Caenorhabditis elegans: one gene and its partners. The protein of the gene in region 3 interacts with the protein of the main gene of each other region in a biochemical or structural test. Each region holds a gene or a part of one and is shown on either strand. Other genes may lie near its edges.

Region 1 (7,785 bases), on a different chromosome or scaffold from region 3:
AATACCTTGAGTTTTGAATCTTTTTTGGAGAGTCTAGAGTTTGTTTAGTGGCTGGCTTGATGTCAGTATTAGATCTCACGTTATCGTATCAGCACACCACAGCTAATTCATTTTCTCTCATTATCCATATTTATTTGGTCCACCTGTTACACAAAAAACGCACTCAAAATCTGACTGCTCAATTAAGGATAATGAGTGTCCAGATCTCGTGCAGGCTCATTTTCCATTAATTGAGTAACAATTTGTTTCAGTTAATGTCTGAAAATATTCCAAGAAAAGCGTGTTGCTATGTTCAAAAATGAATTTTAATAATTCTATGACGTCATAATATGTACCTCACTATAATCTCGACACCCCATCATTATCAAAACTGTTTTTTTCGGGTTTTTCCGAAAAAGATTTTTGAAAAAAATTTCCCAATTTAAGAATGGTGGGCTAAGGACGGCATGATGTAATCGCGCTCCACGACCGATTGTAAATATTTCGAAAATACGTGGGTGCATGTGTACTCAATTATTGATCGAATTGGCGCGAAAGTCTTGTGTTGTCTACGCTCTCTTGCATACCATTGAGTCTTTATTTCTCTATTTCTGCTTAGTTTCTCAAGCATTCACTAATGAATATTTTGCCGTATCTAATGCAACAACAACTTGGTGTTTTGTTTAAATCTTTAGCTCTTCGAAATACTTTATCACATTCTGACTGTATCAGCGAATTTCTAATACATTTTAAATTAGTGAAATTATCTGAATAGCTTTAAAAATATTCCTAGCCTGCAGTCTTTTCTGAAAATATGTTTCGTCTAATAAAGAAAATAATTTTAATATAAAAAATTATTCCAGGCTCTTCTATACGGAGTTCTCCAACTTCAAAAGAAGATCAAGCGTAAGCGAGAAGCTCAACTTTGGTACAGACGCTAAACAGAACACGAGGCGAAAAGAAAGTACGAGAAAGTTGGAGAACTGTGAAAAAATTCGCAGAAAAATGGTCATTTTGTACGAGTAAGCCCCACTTCATTCATTTTTTGTGTTTCTCCACCTTTTCTCCATTTTCTTTTTTCTAGATCTGATATCGATAGTTTCGTTCGTTTTTTTCTGCGGTTTACTTTTTTTTTCGAATAGTGTCTATTTTTACCTCATGTTTTTTTTGGTTGAAAAAAAGTCGATAACATTTTTTTAAAGTTCTATTTTTTTCTCTCATTTTCTTTGGAACGGTTAACAACGCCGACCCTTTGTGGTTCTCTTTTTATTTATTTATTCATATTTTCACAAAGTCTGTGAATTTTTATATAGTGATTTGAAAGGAGATCACGACGCACTTTATAGCGCCGCCAAGTTTTTTTTTTTGGATTTGGTTTTTGGATTGAAAATAATACAAAAAAAGTCTGTGTGGATTGAAAATTGTATTGCGCAAATTCAAAAACACAAATTTTCTGGCGCCTCTTCTGAAAATTGCTGATCCTTTGTCACGGGCACAAACCTATCGTACACATTGATCTCATTGATTTCCTGAATGAGTTAACGTGAGTACGTTGAAATATTTTTTGCAGGATTTTGCAAAACTGATTCATCAGGTGTGCCCGTGTTTTTTGCGCGATTTTGGTCCATTAACTTCCAAAATTGGGAAATCCACACGGAACCGCGCTTTTCGAAACGCTTTTTAGGGAATAGAAAAGATCACATTTTTCTACTTTTTGTTTGTGATATTTTCACTACTGGACCATTCAAATTCGCCTTAATATCCCTTTTCCGAATCTGCAGTTTTATATTTTTCCGTCGTTTCGAGACACAGCGGAGGATCGGAGGTATTGAAATCAATATGTTACCGAATAATCAATGGCAAATACCTATAAACAATGGATTAACACATCAGGAAAATATGGCAGCACACGTGAGTTATTGGAAAATTATTGACATTTATTAAATAGTTTAAAATTCTTGTATTTTACCCAAGGATTTTTCTGTTCCAATCTGTTATTTTTCAAAAAGTAAAACTGATGGATTCCAAATTTTCAGGCAGCCGTCATGAAATTGAGAGTACACGATCTTCAGGTTAGATACCGTTTTTAATCAATCTTTATTGTTCAATACCTCAACGAGAAGGCGATGTGAATCAAGAATTTATGAATTTCAGTCGATTATCTCGCAATTGTCACTTCGAAAGCCACGTCCACAAAAATCGGAGCATCAGAAGGTCGTCGTTGAATCCTTGCGTGATCCTCATCATGCTCGGCAAATTTATCAAATGGTCATTTGTTTTTCTCGTTATTTTATTTATGTTTTTTTTTAAATGATGTTTTACAGCATTAATTTTCTCGAGTTTACAGGCTTCCAATTTCCCGAACGGAAATTATGAGGTAAGTATGAAAAAGTTAAATACTTTCAGTTAAAAAAAAACTATGTCAACTTTGATTAAATAGATGTGTGAGGTACTTTGGGTAACGTTTACCAGTGTTCTACCTCGGAGGAAATTATTCATTCACCTAGTATTGTCTCTTTACTCACACAATAAGTCTCGCATTTATCTCCACTAGCATCCTCATACCCACCATATATGTAGCCCTTTGTTTCTCTAAGTTTCCTCAAATATTTCATCCATTCTGCACTTGCTTCCTCGCAGCTCCGGCAACGGGACTTTCGCCCGTAATAAGGTGTTAAAAACCTCAAAAGCAGTGGATCTTCGAAAATTTCTTAGTTGTACTTTGCCCTGACCTTCTTTCCATGTTTCATACGTGTAGCTTGGCGCGTAGTTTTTCATTACAATTTTTATTTTACTAGATTGATTCTTTTGAATACTGTCACACTTTTTTGAAAATCAAATTCAAATTTTCACTCCTAAAGAGGTATTTGAGTTTTTTAATAATTGTTTCACTTTGAAAAATCGATATGGAAGCGAATTGGCACGATGTCGCTCGTGAGAAACTGGGAATCGTTTTTTTTTTTGTTGTTATTTCACAACAGTTGATTCGAATGCGCGTAACTATTTAAATCAATCGAATTTTTAGTTGGCTTATTATTGAAATTTTACTAAATTTTAAGAAAGTCCTGTTATCAAAACTCCAAAAAAACGGCTAGGTTTATCAATATATATCATTTCTTCGCAAGCACCTCTCCTGATGACATGTGCGCTCTATTGAGAAACAAACGTTCAAAAAATCTCTTCCGCTTTGTTTTTTATTCCCAAATGTATTTTTGCAAATGTTCTAATTGTCTAAAATATTCCACATATTTAAAGTTAGAGCCTAAAAAATTGTTTGTAAATCGTTTCTGTTTTAATAACTAAATTAAAAAATGTCAGATGCAGAAGCGACCTGCAACAACATCCCAAGTTCGGTCTCATCCATATGTGCTGCCATCTCGATCTGGAGCTAGTAATCACTTGGTCAATCATCATTATCAGCAGCAACAACAACAACAACCACAGCCTCACAATCTACTTCATCAACAAATGATGGCGTCACATCATTCACATCTGCAACAGCAGCACCATCCGTCGACGGTGAGATGGCTAACTCCTGAACTGCTCGAAGAGCAACTGAGGGGCTCGATGAGATACGGCGCTCCCGCTGCTGCTGCTGCTACCAACGCGCCGCTCCATTCATCTTTTCCTAATCATGGACGTTCTTCTCAGCAAAGTTTGCAGAAGTCGGAAAAATCAAATAGGGTGAACATTTTCGCCGCATTTTTATTGCCTGAAATTCACGATAAGAATGAACGCAAGAATATCGAGGCGGAAAGCATGTGAAGATATACTTTCGGTTTATGACCGTAACGGAAAATTTACCTGAAAAAATTACACTGGTAGCTTCTTCTGGGCACATATATCATATTGGCCAGTCGCGGTTATTTGAAAATTCCTCAATCGTGATACATTATGCAAACAAATGTCCTACCGTTTATTGAATGCACTTTTTTGAATTGCGTGTAGCATTCAAAAAAAAGAAAGAAAAATTCGAAGCTCCAAGATTTGCACGCTGTTATCACGAAATTTTCTGCATGATTCCGAATGGCGTAAAAACTAGAACAAGTGTGGTTTTAAGATATTACAGTATGGCATTCTTAGGAGCATGTTCATGAAGAAAAGCTTAATATGATAATCCTCTCTAGGCATTTCTTCATATTGCCGTGCTCAATTTTCAAATAGTTTTATTTCCAATTAGTTCGTAGTAGCATGTAAAAGTGTTTTTTTACTACCAAAAAGCAGGCATCATTAGAAATTGCGCGGCATGTGTTATACAGTTCGCTCACACGAGTTCAATGTTATCACCTGAAAATTGCTTTCAGCGTCTCTTTCTTACATTCCCACATGTCTAACCCATGTATTTTTTTTTCAGCCGAAAAAAATGTATGCTGATAATTTTGAACCGCTTCCACTTCCATTCTACGATGTTATTTCTGTTTTGCTGAAGCCTGTCGAGCTGCATTCATCAGACAGTCCAACTTTGAAGCAAACAAAACAGGTTGGTCTCAATTTACTCGCTCTCCAAGCCGGTTACCTATTAATTACTAATTTCAGTTACAATTCCCGTTCTTATTGACTGCTGAGCACATCTCCAAGATTTCGTATCGAGCTGATGTTACACCTCTTCCACGATATGAATTGCAGTTGAGGTACGTTTTATTATCATTGAAATCGGTTTAAATCCTTGTTTTCAGGTTCTTCAATCTTACTGAACCAGTTCAGGGTCCTCAAAAAGACGACTTTCCACTCAATTGCTACGCACGTGTTGATGATTCTGTCGTTCAATTGCCGGTATGAGATTTGAAACGTTCACGAAATATATTTAATTTCAAAATATCAATTATTGTTAGGAGTTACTATTTCTTCAAATTTCAGAATGTAATCCCAACAAATAAGACAAATGCTGAGCCGAAACGACCATCTCGTCCAGTGAATATCACTTCAAACATGAATAGATACAAGAAAGAGCACACAGTTGCAGTCGAATGGTTAGCCGACAAACGTGTATGGGCAGCTGGAGTTTATTTCGTTCATCGTGTTAACTCGGATATTCTCTTTAAACGTCTTAATCAGAATGTATCAAGACATCGATCACTTGAGGTTACCAAGCAAGAAGTGATCAAGAAACTGTCTGGAGGTGAAGATGATATTGCTATGGATCGTCTTAATATCAGTCTTCTTGATCCACTGTGCAAGACAAGAATGACAACGCCTTCTAGATGCCAAGATTGTACCCATTTGCAATGTTTTGATCTCCTCTCATATTTGATGATGAACGAGAAGAAACCAACGTGGCAGTGCCCTGTTTGCTCGAGTAACTGCCCATATGATAGACTTATTGTTGATGAGTAAGTTTTCAATTCACACTGACTAACTTTGATTTTAAAAAAAAGCGAATTATCTCAATTCTATGTTTTCATTATTTTTCTATTAACTCTTAGATACCGTTCCCTCACTTCGAAATTTCCAATTCTTGTGAAGACACTATTATTTTTCCAAACACAATTGTTATCTATAGCGATGGACAACACCCTTAAAATAGCCATGATGAAACGGTGATTAGGAAATTCGGAAACGCGTCGTCTAAAATAGGCATGTATTTGCAAATATAGTCTACGATTATTATCAGTAGTTCGTATTGGTCTCCAACTCAAAATTCAGCTCATGACGTAAGAGAACATGAAACAAATGGCAAAGGTCAATCATCATAATTGAGCAAGAGTTTTAATGTGTAATTGAAAATTATTATTATTCAGAAATTCAAAATCCCTGTAAATAATTCTCAATCAATTAATAATCCAAATAGTGTTCTCACTCTTATGTTTACCATGATCCAGATTCATATTGTGAACAGTGCATCATGGACAAACAACAAATTCGATGGCTAACTTCATGCAGTTTTGTGTGAAGCTGTCTGTTCGCACTATTCGCTCGTTTTCTTAATTGGAAAATACTTTTTAGTCACGGAAATGCCTGAGAAACTGCTTAGACGTTACCCAATTCAACATTTTATTTAAGAAATATTCAAATATCAAAATAAAAAGCAATGTTCTGAGACTATGCAAATATTGTTTCATCTTTCAGTTATTTCCTCGATATGCTTGCAAAGGTGGATAAGAATACGACGGAAGTTGAACTTAAGGAAGATGGCTCGTACGATGTTATCAAGGAAGAAGCTTTTTGCATCTCAGATGATGACGACGATGACGTTGTACCTGCTACTGTTAACGGTACAGCGTCATGCTCTTCGACAAATGGCAATGGACTTGCAAATGAAGCAGCGAAGAAAAAACCAGCTGACGACGACATAATTACCTTGAGTGATGACGATGATGAGGAATTGAACAGAGGTATAATGAACTCTCTGAACGACAGCTTCTCTCCTGGCAGACACACAGGTTTGCTATTCAAATGGCGTGGTGTGAGACAAGCTGAGAATATTGCAGTTTCTAGCAATATCAATTAAAAGTATTCACTTGAAATTCAAATCTTATTTCAGCTTCCGCAGAATTGGCTGCTCAAAAGACACCACCACAGCAGAAAAAGAAGACGAAAGACGATGACATAGAGATTATTACTCTCGATGATACACCACCTCGTCCAGTAGCTGCAAGTGCAAATCTTCCAATGCGTCAGATGTCTCAACAGAATCAAATGCCAGTTGGCTCATCTCCATCTGGAATGGCCTCAACGCAAATGGGAATGAACGAGGGTGCAAGTAAAACTATCCGGGATGCGCTGAACAAAATAGGAGAAGTAAGTTCAGAAAAACACAAATCTTCAAAAGAGCCAATATTGTTAGTTATTTTCCATAGTTTTAAGAGGATTTGTTCTTAATTTGACTGAAATCAGTATTCTAGTTATAACTTATCCGTTTTTAACCAAAACTAATACAAAGATTGAATTATATATTTGATTATATTATTATATGATATTGTTAAACTAACATCTGCTTCTCCCTGTCCACACTCACTAAACTGTCTGTTTGTTGCAGCAGTCAGCAAATTCATCAACACAATCATCTCCGCTTGTTCAACTTCACCATACGACACATCCATTGAATTTTGCTCAATCATCTTATATGAATCCCTCTTCAGGATCTCAAACACCTACATCACAATACGGATATTCGGTATGCCAGCACGTGTTAATAGTCTACCACACGCACTAATACTCTAGTGATATTTTTTCATAACGACAGAACAAAAAAATCCTGTTTTAATCTCTTTTTTTTCTTTGTTCAAGCCCCTATTAATTGGATAAGATACTTAGATGATTGTCCACTGCACTAGAATTCTGTCGAATTGAAAAAAATGCACTAGTTTTACGTCTGGAATTATAAACTTAACAAATATTTTTCAAAATTTTTTAAAAATTGAACTCTCGTTTTCAGCCAATGATAAACCAGGCACCACACTTCCAAATGCAAAACGGGCTCATAGGGCGAAACAATCAAATGGTTCATATGCAGCAGCACCATCTTCAGCAGCAACAACAGCAGCAGCAGTCACCACAAATCATGTCTCCGTCTTTTTATGCTCAACAGCAAATGTCAAACGGTAATTTTTTGTACACCTTACAAAGTTTTTGTATATTATGTTTAAACATCAAAACAATCACTTCACGATCTTCAGTTAATAGCGAGTAAACTTGTTGTGTAATTGCAACCATCCTGCATGCAAATATATATTTATTTCCCTTACTTGGTTTGGCCTCACTTTCAGGTGACACCAATAACATCCAACCACCACGAATTCTTTCCATGGCTGAAATACAAGCAAATGCATCTCGACTTTTGGTAAATGGACACCTGATGATCGATCA
Region 2 (5,656 bases), on a different chromosome or scaffold from region 3:
CACTTTGTGGCATTAATACTTTCTTTCAGCGTTCTATCAAACGTTTGTTCTCTTTGGAGCTAAGGCAAACCGCGCAACTTACGATTGAAGAATGGCTTCGAACCAAGAACTGGCTTGCGTCTACGCTGCTCTCATCCTTCAAGATGACGAGGTCGCCATCACCGGCGAGAAGATCGCTACCCTTCTCAAGGCCGCCAACGTCGAGTTCGAGCCATACTGGCCAGGACTCTTCGCCAAGGCTCTCGAGGGAGTTGATGTGAAGGTAAGGATTTCTCATAAGTATATTCAAGTTTCACCCCGATTGTTTTCAGAACCTCATCACTTCTGTCTCTTCCGGAGCCGGATCTGGACCAGCTCCAGCCGCCGCCGCTGCTGCTCCAGCTGCTGGAGGAGCCGCCCCAGCTGCCGAGACCAAGAAGAAGGAGGAGCCAAAGGAGGAATCCGATGACGACATGGGCTTCGGTCTCTTCGACTAAAGATCTTGTTATTTGTTTTCAATAAATCTGTTAACAACACCAAGAAAGTGTTTATGGCTTCAAAAGTGAAAAAAGGAGGTTATTTTGGCACTACTCGATTGTTCAGAACGTTTTGAATCCTTTGTATCCGGCTATATTGTCGACCAGGCGCTTTTGGTGGCAAGAAATAGTTGTCTTTCAGAATGATAGTTGGCTCTTCTTTAACACTGTTAGATTCCGGCGAAACAGGCTTCGTGCTTGTTTGTGAGATTCTGCAAAAACTGAAACAATCGGATTTCTCAAGTAAATTAATGTGACTCACTTTACAGGATCTCGTGGAGTTCCTGTTTCAGGCGTGCTCTGAATGATATCTGATGGTATTGTCGAGCTGGCAAGCGACATCGGCGGACTTTCTTCAATATGAACCGACGCGGACTTCGGATCCGATGGAGGATCAGGCGGGATCGGTGGTTGCACAGGTGGTTGGTTCCGAAGTTCCAGGCCAGCCACGTCGGCTTTCAAAGCATCGTGCTCCACTTTCATTTGCATCAGTCTCCGTTGTTCTTTGGCTTCTTCCTGACGGATCCTCAACGCCAACTCGGCGGTTTTAACACCCTCGGATAATTCCACATAGTGCTCAGAAATCTGAAAAAAAGGAAAATTTTAAAAATTCTAGAAAATGAAATGGGAATCCTACAGAATCGATGAATCTGACAAACTGCTCCTGATACTCATTTCTATCCTTTTTCGCCCTCGCCATCACCGTCAATGTGGCACTTTTTATGTTATCAAGCTGAAAATCGGTGGAATTTTGAATTTCTACCTTGAAGCGCACTCACATATCCGTTATACTTGTTGAAATGCGAGAAAAGTACGATTTTGTGTTGTCCCGCCTGGATTTTAGTCTGTGAAAAGAGGTTTGCGTGATAGAGAAGGAACACTGGGGGATGAAGAAGACGGGGACAGTTTACGGGAAATTATTTAAGTCACTCAAAGTCACTCACTTCATTCGAAATTTCCACGTCATCAAATTCTCGATTGTTCTGATTGTTGAGGAGCAGAAAAATTGGCTTTTTCTGCACATGTGGATTGCTGGTTAGGGAGTGGAGAGCCTGGAGAATGATAATTTTTTAAAAGTAATTTATTACCGAGACTTGAAATTTTGACCGAAAATACGGTATCCGGTCTCGACACGACAAATTTCTGTGAAATGCGAAAAGGTGTGCGCCTTTAAAGATTACTGTGGTTTTAAACGTTCTTTGCCCGATTTTTCATAGTTTTTCGAAAATATATGTGGTTTTAATTGTTTTATCACGAATTTCTGGCTTCCCTAGGAATTAATGGAATTTCCTCATAAATTGAAATGGAAGAGTTTGCCGAACTAGGCCAGTTTGGCTCGGCCATATCTGGGGTGGATCTACGGCGCGTTGCGTGTCGCATCGCGGCTCGGTTTTAGTTGTAAAACTACCGTATTTTTTCTATTAATATAGCTGCAATACTATTTTTCGATGGTCTTCCCGCTTGCAATACTAATAGGGAGTGCAAGACTATTAGGGAGTGCAATATTACACTCAAGATAAGAAAACTGCGTGGCGTGTACTGCAGAAAACCTCATATTTAGGCCCCGCCTTTTTCACTAATAGGGAGTGCAATACTAATTTTCGGAGGGTGTTCAAGGAGCAATACTAATAGGGAGTGCAAGTCTAATAGGGAGGCCATATTAATAGAAGAAATACGGTAAATGAAATTACTGTACTTTTGCCTAAAAATTTTTAAAGGAGCACACCCGTTTTAGTTTTTTGCAAAAAGTTGTCGTGTCGAGACCGGATAGCGTATTTTGAGCCTAAAAATCTTATTTCATAACTTTTAGGAATAATTCATAATCCTTATCAATTTCGTAACTTCTCTCACCTCAATCGACTCGGTGAATGTCTCATCCGTTGAATAATCAATCACATAGATGATTCCGTGAACCTTAATTTATTTAGAATAATTATAATAATCACGGTTTGATCTACAAAAATGCGGGAATTTTTCTCCCAAAAAAATGTGACGTCAAAACGCTCTTAACCATGCGAAATCAGTCCCGCATTTTTTGTAGATCCACGTGTAATAAGAGTTTTCAAAAATTCTCCAGTGTGAAAGTGCGCCCTATCGCATGCACACACACACACACACCTCAGCATAATAATTGCTCCAAATTCCACGTATTCCCTTATCCCCGCCAACATCGTAGATCGTCAAATGAAAAGTCTCATCATACTCCATTTTCACTGTGGAGAACCCGTTGGTACGGAGCAAATCCCGCGGATCTTCTGGATTAAATTCAAATTTTAAAATAATTTCGGATTGAGCGACGGAGCGCACTTGCTTACCTCCCTTGAGAACTTTCAAAAATGTGGTTTTTCCGGCGCTTCCGATGCCAAAACATCCGAGTTTGATTTCTCTGAAAAAAAACCTATTGGGTCTCGGCACGATCTATGGGAATTCATCAAACTAAAAATATTGCTCAGATGCGGAAACTTGCGGATTTGCGTCTCGACACGACAATTTTTGTAAATTGCAAAACGGTGTGCGCCTTTAAAGAGTACTGTAATTTCTGGGTTTCGTTGATGTGTAATTCTCATGTGGGAAAATTGCTTTAAAACACGCATATGGCGTCACAATGACCGAATATCATGATAAAAAAATTCAAAAATTTTTTCTAGATTTTATATGATTTTTTGAAAATTGAAAAAATCTCAGTTTTCCCCTAATTCCTATTTGAATTTCCGCCAATTGAACTTGTTCGATGGAGCGCACTTGCATTATTTTTATTTATTTATTTTATTTTTCTTATTTTTCGGCCTATTTTCTTCATTTTTTTGTGTTTTTTATCGGAAAATGCGAGAAATAAACTAGAAAAATGCAAAATGCTTGTTAAAAAGTAACTGAAAATGCCTAAAACTGTAAAATATACTAATTTCAGGCTTGTCGTCGGAAATCATAATTTTACAGTTTTACGCCTTTTCAATTATTTTTTAACAAACATTCTGCAATTACCTTGTTTTGTCATTTTAATTTCCATTAAAAACGCAAAAAAAAAGAAAATCAGTGGAGAATAAATAAAATAAATGAATAAAAATAATTTTTAATATATTTTCATGGCAAAAATCGATCGGAAAATATTAAAAATAGCTGAATTTTCGACTTTAAATATAATTTTTTTTCCAAAAAACCTCGAATAAGGAAACATTTTTGGATTTTCCGTTTTACATCTTCAAAATTTCATAAAAAATGCTTTCAAGCAAACGATTTTCATTTAAAAAAATAAGCCTAAGAATATCGAATTACCGTCTGATAATAGGTGTACGATGGCAACAACAGCAGAAAATAGTTTCGAACCACGACTTTTCGGTCATTTCTTCTCACTTTCTACGCATTTCCTTGCGGTAAAGTGTGTGGTGTCGAAATCGAGGAGATTAGTTACGCAAGAAGTTGCTCTCGGCTTTCACGAGCGGCGGTTGCCATAGTTACCAGAGCCCGAGAGAGCACAAGAATTGTGGAGAGAAGCCGCGGGGTGGGAGGAAGAGATGAGGTGAGGCGGCGGCCGAAGAAGACAATCAGAAACTGGCTCTGATAATGATTAGGTTGGCGAGCTGCCAAGTGATCATACATTTTTCAGGAGAAGGAGACAGAGGCATTCATTTTTTTGGGAAACCCATACGATGTTTTTTTAAATACGAATAAAATAAAACAAAAATGATCAAAAAAAAGTGAGAATTAATCAATCACATCTTCAATGGGTCCACTTTGGCGACCTTCTTTGCGTTTGCAGCAGCTGCAGCGGCTTCGGCTTCTTTCTTGGCTGCCGCTTTCTCCTGCTTGATACGCATGACGTCAGCGTCGCGATTCATGCGAGCATCCATCGATAGACCCTGGAATATTTATTTGCAACTGGATATATATATGTGATTTGGAAATTTGAAATGAAAACTTACAGCATTTCCGTCTTGTCCAGAGGCTCCCTGGCGCTTCTTTTGATCGGCCAGTTTCTTTTGGTTCTTCTCACGAGCCAGATCTCTTTGATTTCCACGAGTCATTTTTGTTGGAGTTGTGCTGCTCAAAAACTGTGTTTCTCGGATCACACCGGAGCGCCGTCAGCGATGGACAAAGCCGCCGTATACGAGGTTTTCTGGAAGAAAAAAACAAAGAATCGATAAGAAAGTGTCGTGAACGCAGACCGTCTCGGTGACATAAATGACCGAGATTAGGAAATGCGCGGGATAAATGAGAGACGTCAGAATGATAGACAGTCTGACTAGCGGACACGTGGAACTTTTTGAAGGAAAACTTGTGGAAGGAGGTGTAGTTTAGGAAATTCTCAAATTCTCGCAAAATAATCACATCACATGGACAAATAAAGAATGAGCTGTGAACTCAATTATACAATATGACAAAAATTAAATTTAAAAAGCAAACTTGAATCAAATGTTTCATCAAATTTTGAGAAATTAGTGAAGAAAAAGAGGAAAAACGGTGGAAAAAAGTAAAAATTGAGATTCGGCCACAACAAAACAGAAAAACAACAACAATTGAAAGGGGCTCCGATTACTTTTCCAGCGGATGGTAGTTGAGAAGCTTCTCGATGAGATCCACGTGAGCCAGAAGCATTCTTCGGCAACAGTAGCGACGAAGACCGAGCGCGTCGAGAGCATCTCCTGAGAGAAACGAGATTTTTTTCATTCAGTAAATCCGAGAATTTTAAAAACCTTCACTGTATTCCGACTGCAAGAATCCGAGATACGTCTCCCACTTGTCGCCGATGACTTTGCCGCATGTGAAGCATCTGATTGGGATAATCATCTTGTGATTTTGCTGAAATTTTCGAAAATTGAAGATGAAAACTGCACTTTTTCGAGATTTTTGGTGAAGTTTTGAACGAAACACTTTTGCCACAAGCTAATTGTAAAGTTTTTGAAGAGAAACTTCAAGAAAATCAAGTTAAATCACAAAAAATGGGGGCAGAAATTCTAGAAATTGAAAATTGTTCAAAATACGCAATGCGCGTGAAATATGGTGTTTTCAGTGCATTTGTCACAGCGGTGTTTGCACAGTTGTCGACCGTAGTTGCAGCAAAGATTTTAAAATTGGTTTTCCAATTTTCTTTTCGAATTTTTTTGTTTCAAGATCGAATTGCAAATTAGAGAAACTCGTTCGAA
Region 3 (3,463 bases):
TTTTCTGTAATTATTGCTTCCAACTCTTCTTTTTTGCGCCATAATTCTAAACCCCTGTGCCATTGGGCGCCCCCTCAGAAGCCCGGTGCTCCTTCGTTTTTTCTTTGTTTTGTTTTTTTTCAAATCGGAAATATCGCTCTCTCAGAAATTGTGATAAATAGTACACGTTTTACACGTTCCATATGTGCCTTGCCTTACAATTAAAAAATGAATAAATTTTTTTCAAATTTAAATCATTCTTATTTTTACGATGAGTTCGAAAAGTGGTGTTATAGAGTTTCCGGAAGACAAGTGAGTTTTTAATTTTTATTTATAAATTTAAATTTTTGACTCTTTGAAGCAAATTTGTGCATACAAATATGGCTGATTACACTACGGAATTGCTTGATGGTAGTGAGTCAACTACAAAGAGTACAGCAACAGACGAACCACCTAATCAATTGTTTTTGTCATCGTTGCTTTTCTTGAGCTCTGCGATTTGTTCTCTGTGAGCTCACTAGCTATTTTCTACAATTAAACAATAATGGAAAACCAAAATAAAATTTTATTCCAGATTCGCAGCTTCAATTCTAGTTCGTAGTTTTCCATTTTTCGGTTCTACTCTCTCTTTGGTGATCATTCTAGTAACTAGGTTGGCTTTGTTCATCAAGAAAAATAGATCTAATTGGAACATTTTCTAGAGAATGGAATAGGATATACGGTGGACTTTTGAGTCCAAATCTGAAAGCAACAATCAACTATTCGACCGTTATGAGAGATCACAGGTACATCTGAATTCTAGAAAATCACCTATTGTATATATATCCTATATATAGGCATATATTTTGACACTTAAAATAATTAAATTTCCAACTTTCTAATTCAGAGAATACATTCCGTTATACGACATGGACTGGTTGTTCGGAGGAAGATACAAGCCGTACTATTATGGATGCACGGGACCTTCGAACAATCCGGACATGGAGAGAACGCCTGATGAGTGAGAAAAAAGTTTTTTATTTTTTGAAAACGTTATCATTTTTGCAGCCCCGGAAGTCGTTCGCCGACGAAAGAGCGCAAGGAAGGAGAGGTTTTGAAGAAGGATGACTGACTGGGCACTCTCATTCTCACACATTTTGCCGCGAATAAATATTATTTGAATTTCGCGCCCTTCGAATTTATAATTTTCTTGAATATTCTTTTGTGTGCGCGCGAAAACTGCGAACCGTTTTGTAATTTTCTGTTGCATTCTGTCGAAATTAGTTTTCGTGTGCGACACCATTGCGAAATCGCGCGCCGCACTATGCAATTTATTGATCGATAATACGGGCGGTGCTCGCCCCCCTTTTCGTTTTTTGGCGCGATATCCTATTTTTGAACTTTTTCGAGAAATTTCTCTTTCTTATCGATCGGATTTCTGTTTGAAAAATCTAAAATAGTTCTGACAAGTGTCACGAACACGCTGTTTCGTTTGTTTACCTCTCTCTTCTTTTCTCGTTGTGCCTAAAACTTCACTGTCCACTTCTCTTTTACAAATTTGATATTTTTCAGTGTAACCGAACAAAAATGTCGGGAATTGCTGCAGGACGCCTCGCGGAAGAAAGGAAACACTGGCGAAAGGTGAGAATTTTATCATTACATGGCAAGTCGGGGCGATTTGTATTACAAAACCGCTTTAAATCGGTTAAATTCTAAAAATTATCGAAAAATAGTTTGTTTTCATGCCCAAAACTCAACATTTTCAGGATCATCCATTCGGATTCATTGCCAAACCAGTCAAGAACGCCGACGGAACATTGAACCTCTTCAATTGGGAATGTGCAATCCCAGGGAGAAAGGATACGATTTGGGAAGGCGGATTATACAGAGTATGTGAAGCTAGAATTCGGAAATTATCATTTTTCGTTAATTTATTGAGCTATAATATTCGTGAACTGTTTCTCTCAAAAACTGCTATTTGGAATACAACGATATTTATAAATCTAATTCAATTTTCTTTCAGATTCGGATGCTCTTCAAGGACGATTTCCCGTCAACGCCACCAAAGTGCAAGTTCGAGCCACCACTCTTCCATCCAAATGTGTACCCATCAGGTTATTATTGCAGTCCAATAGTTATAATTAATTAATTGAATTCAGGTACCGTGTGCTTATCTCTTCTGGATGAAAACAAGGATTGGAAGCCGTCAATCTCAATCAAGCAACTTCTCATTGGAATTCAAGATTTGCTGAACCATCCAAATATTGAAGATCCAGCTCAGGCTGAAGCCTATCAGATCTACTGTCAGAATAGGTGAGTTTTTTTTATCTGAATATTATAAAAAAAATACACAAATGAATTTATTACAGGGCTGAATATGAGAAGCGAGTGAAGAAGGAAGCTGTGAAGTATGCTGCCGAACTCGTCCAGAAGCAAATGCTCGAGTAGATGCTTGCTTCGTGGTAGTCGTCTATTCTATTCTCCTTTTTCCTCCCATCCTCATTTCATTTAGTTAACTATTTCTGTATGCGGCAACGATTGTTGACACAACTCGAAATTCGAGCACCGAAGCAACTTTTCTGATATCTTTTATTTCAATCTAACCAAAAGCTTTGTCGTGCCTGGTTTTTCATTTCGTGGTTGATGAAATTCGAGAGCTAGAACATTTCGATGACTTTTTCCAAATTTCGTGTGCACGCAAACCCAATCATTTTCCACTGGTCCATGGGCTGAGTAGTCTTTATTCTTTCAAAAGACTATTCCTCATCATTCTTACTCATTTTGATCTTCATCTTTCTTTTTATCCCGTTCTGTTTTCCATCTCTTTTCTCTTCCCCCCAATTCTCTTAAAATCAGGAGCACAATTTAATTGTTGACAAATCCCGTGTATTCCAATTTTCTAAATGGACTTGATTATATTTTTTTTCCCTCAACTTATTTGTATTTTGCAACTCAACCATGAACTGTTCATGTCAGATTCTCCAACAATGTCCGAATTCATGAAAGGTGTGATGCTTCTGAAGCAAGACTTGACTGAAGTTCCTGCCGAAGAAGCTCTGAAGGGCAAGGTGGCGAAATATTAGTGTGTAGTGAAAGATTTTAGAATATGACATTTAGGTTGTTGCTCTTTATTTTTCCGCGGGATGGTGTCCACCGTGTAAGCAGTTCACTCCGAAGCTAGTTGTGAGTGCTGAATCTAGATTTTCCGATTTTCCAATGAGTTTCCACACCCTTCAGCGCTTCTACCATCATCTGAAGAAGGCTGGAAAGCCCATCGAAGTGGTTTTCTTCTCTCGTGATAGATCAAAGGCTGATCTTGAAGAGAACTTCACCGAGAAGCACGGCGATTGGCTCTGCGTCAAGTATGGAGACGACATTTTGACGTGAGATTTATCATTTTTAATTTCAGAGTCTCAAAAATAAATCATAATTTTCAGACGATATCAATCAAAGTTCGAGATCAAGACGATCCCAGTGCTCCGAGTGATCAACGCAGCCGGCAAGA

What was found. Proteins that work in one complex are often made in the same cells at the same time.
Region 1: of the proteins of ubc-9 (region 3) and gei-17, one has a biochemical effect on the other in vitro, tested with the Caenorhabditis elegans proteins (one study listed by BioGRID).
Region 2: the proteins of ubc-9 (region 3) and arl-13 form a complex in vitro, tested with the Caenorhabditis elegans proteins (one study listed by BioGRID).

What each region holds. Positions count from the first base shown.
Region 1 is NC_003279.8:9,101,573-9,109,357, reverse strand, and holds the start of gei-17 (E3 SUMO-protein ligase gei-17), read left to right. Parts: upstream 1-1,775; 5' UTR 1,776-1,818; coding exon 1,819-1,890; intron 1,891-2,015; coding exon 2,016-2,051; intron 2,052-2,133; coding exon 2,134-2,247; intron 2,248-2,326; coding exon 2,327-2,356; exon of another isoform or gene 2,357-2,370; intron 2,371-2,660; exon of another isoform or gene 2,661-2,758; intron 2,759-3,038; exon of another isoform or gene 3,039-3,251; intron 3,252-3,297; coding exon 3,298-3,663; intron 3,664-4,333; coding exon 4,334-4,459; intron 4,460-4,515; coding exon 4,516-4,610; intron 4,611-4,655; coding exon 4,656-4,752; intron 4,753-4,836; coding exon 4,837-5,309; intron 5,310-6,045; coding exon 6,046-6,359; intron 6,360-6,460; coding exon 6,461-6,717; intron 6,718-6,955; coding exon 6,956-7,093; intron 7,094-7,354; coding exon 7,355-7,520; intron 7,521-7,685; coding exon of another isoform or gene 7,686-7,785. Other genes in the region: nduf-7 (putative NADH dehydrogenase [ubiquinone] iron-sulfur protein 7, mitochondrial), read left to right, coding at 843-920. UniProt on the Caenorhabditis elegans protein: Functions as an E3-type smo-1 ligase. Mediates smo-1 conjugation to air-2 in vitro and is required for proper chromosome alignment.
Region 2 is NC_003279.8:2,063,949-2,069,604, reverse strand, and holds arl-13 (ADP-ribosylation factor-like protein 13B), read right to left. Parts: upstream 3,888-5,656; 5' UTR 3,857-3,887; coding exon 3,789-3,856; intron 2,902-3,788; coding exon 2,831-2,901; intron 2,771-2,830; coding exon 2,634-2,770; intron 2,430-2,633; coding exon 2,367-2,429; intron 1,568-2,366; coding exon 1,460-1,567; intron 1,361-1,459; coding exon 1,295-1,360; intron 1,249-1,294; coding exon 1,153-1,248; intron 1,101-1,152; coding exon 778-1,100; exon of another isoform or gene 737-777; coding exon 556-736; 3' UTR 511-555; downstream 1-510. Other genes in the region: rplp-1 (Large ribosomal subunit protein P1), read left to right, coding at 92-262, 312-476; moag-4 (Modifier of protein aggregation 4), read right to left, coding at 4,226-4,372, 4,436-4,537; rpb-10 (DNA-directed RNA polymerases I, II, and III subunit RPABC5), read right to left, coding at 5,046-5,155, 5,207-5,300. UniProt on the Caenorhabditis elegans protein: Cilium-specific protein required to control the microtubule-based, ciliary axoneme structure. Required for normal sensory cilium function. May act by maintaining the association between IFT subcomplexes A and B.
Region 3 is NC_003282.8:4,649,514-4,652,976, forward strand, and holds ubc-9 (SUMO-conjugating enzyme UBC9), read left to right. Parts: upstream 1-1,530; 5' UTR 1,531-1,545; coding exon 1,546-1,599; intron 1,600-1,724; coding exon 1,725-1,847; intron 1,848-1,981; coding exon 1,982-2,072; intron 2,073-2,117; coding exon 2,118-2,271; intron 2,272-2,327; coding exon 2,328-2,406; 3' UTR 2,407-2,934; downstream 2,935-3,463. Other genes in the region: F29B9.7 (Pheromone-regulated membrane protein 10), read left to right, coding at 251-291, 341-487, 554-631, 681-764, 866-979, 1,027-1,090; F29B9.5 (Thioredoxin domain-containing protein), read left to right, coding at 2,946-3,026, 3,076-3,141, 3,196-3,341, 3,396-3,463. UniProt on the Caenorhabditis elegans protein: Accepts the ubiquitin-like protein smo-1 from the aos-1-uba-2 E1 complex and catalyzes its covalent attachment to other proteins with the help of an E3 ligase such as gei-17.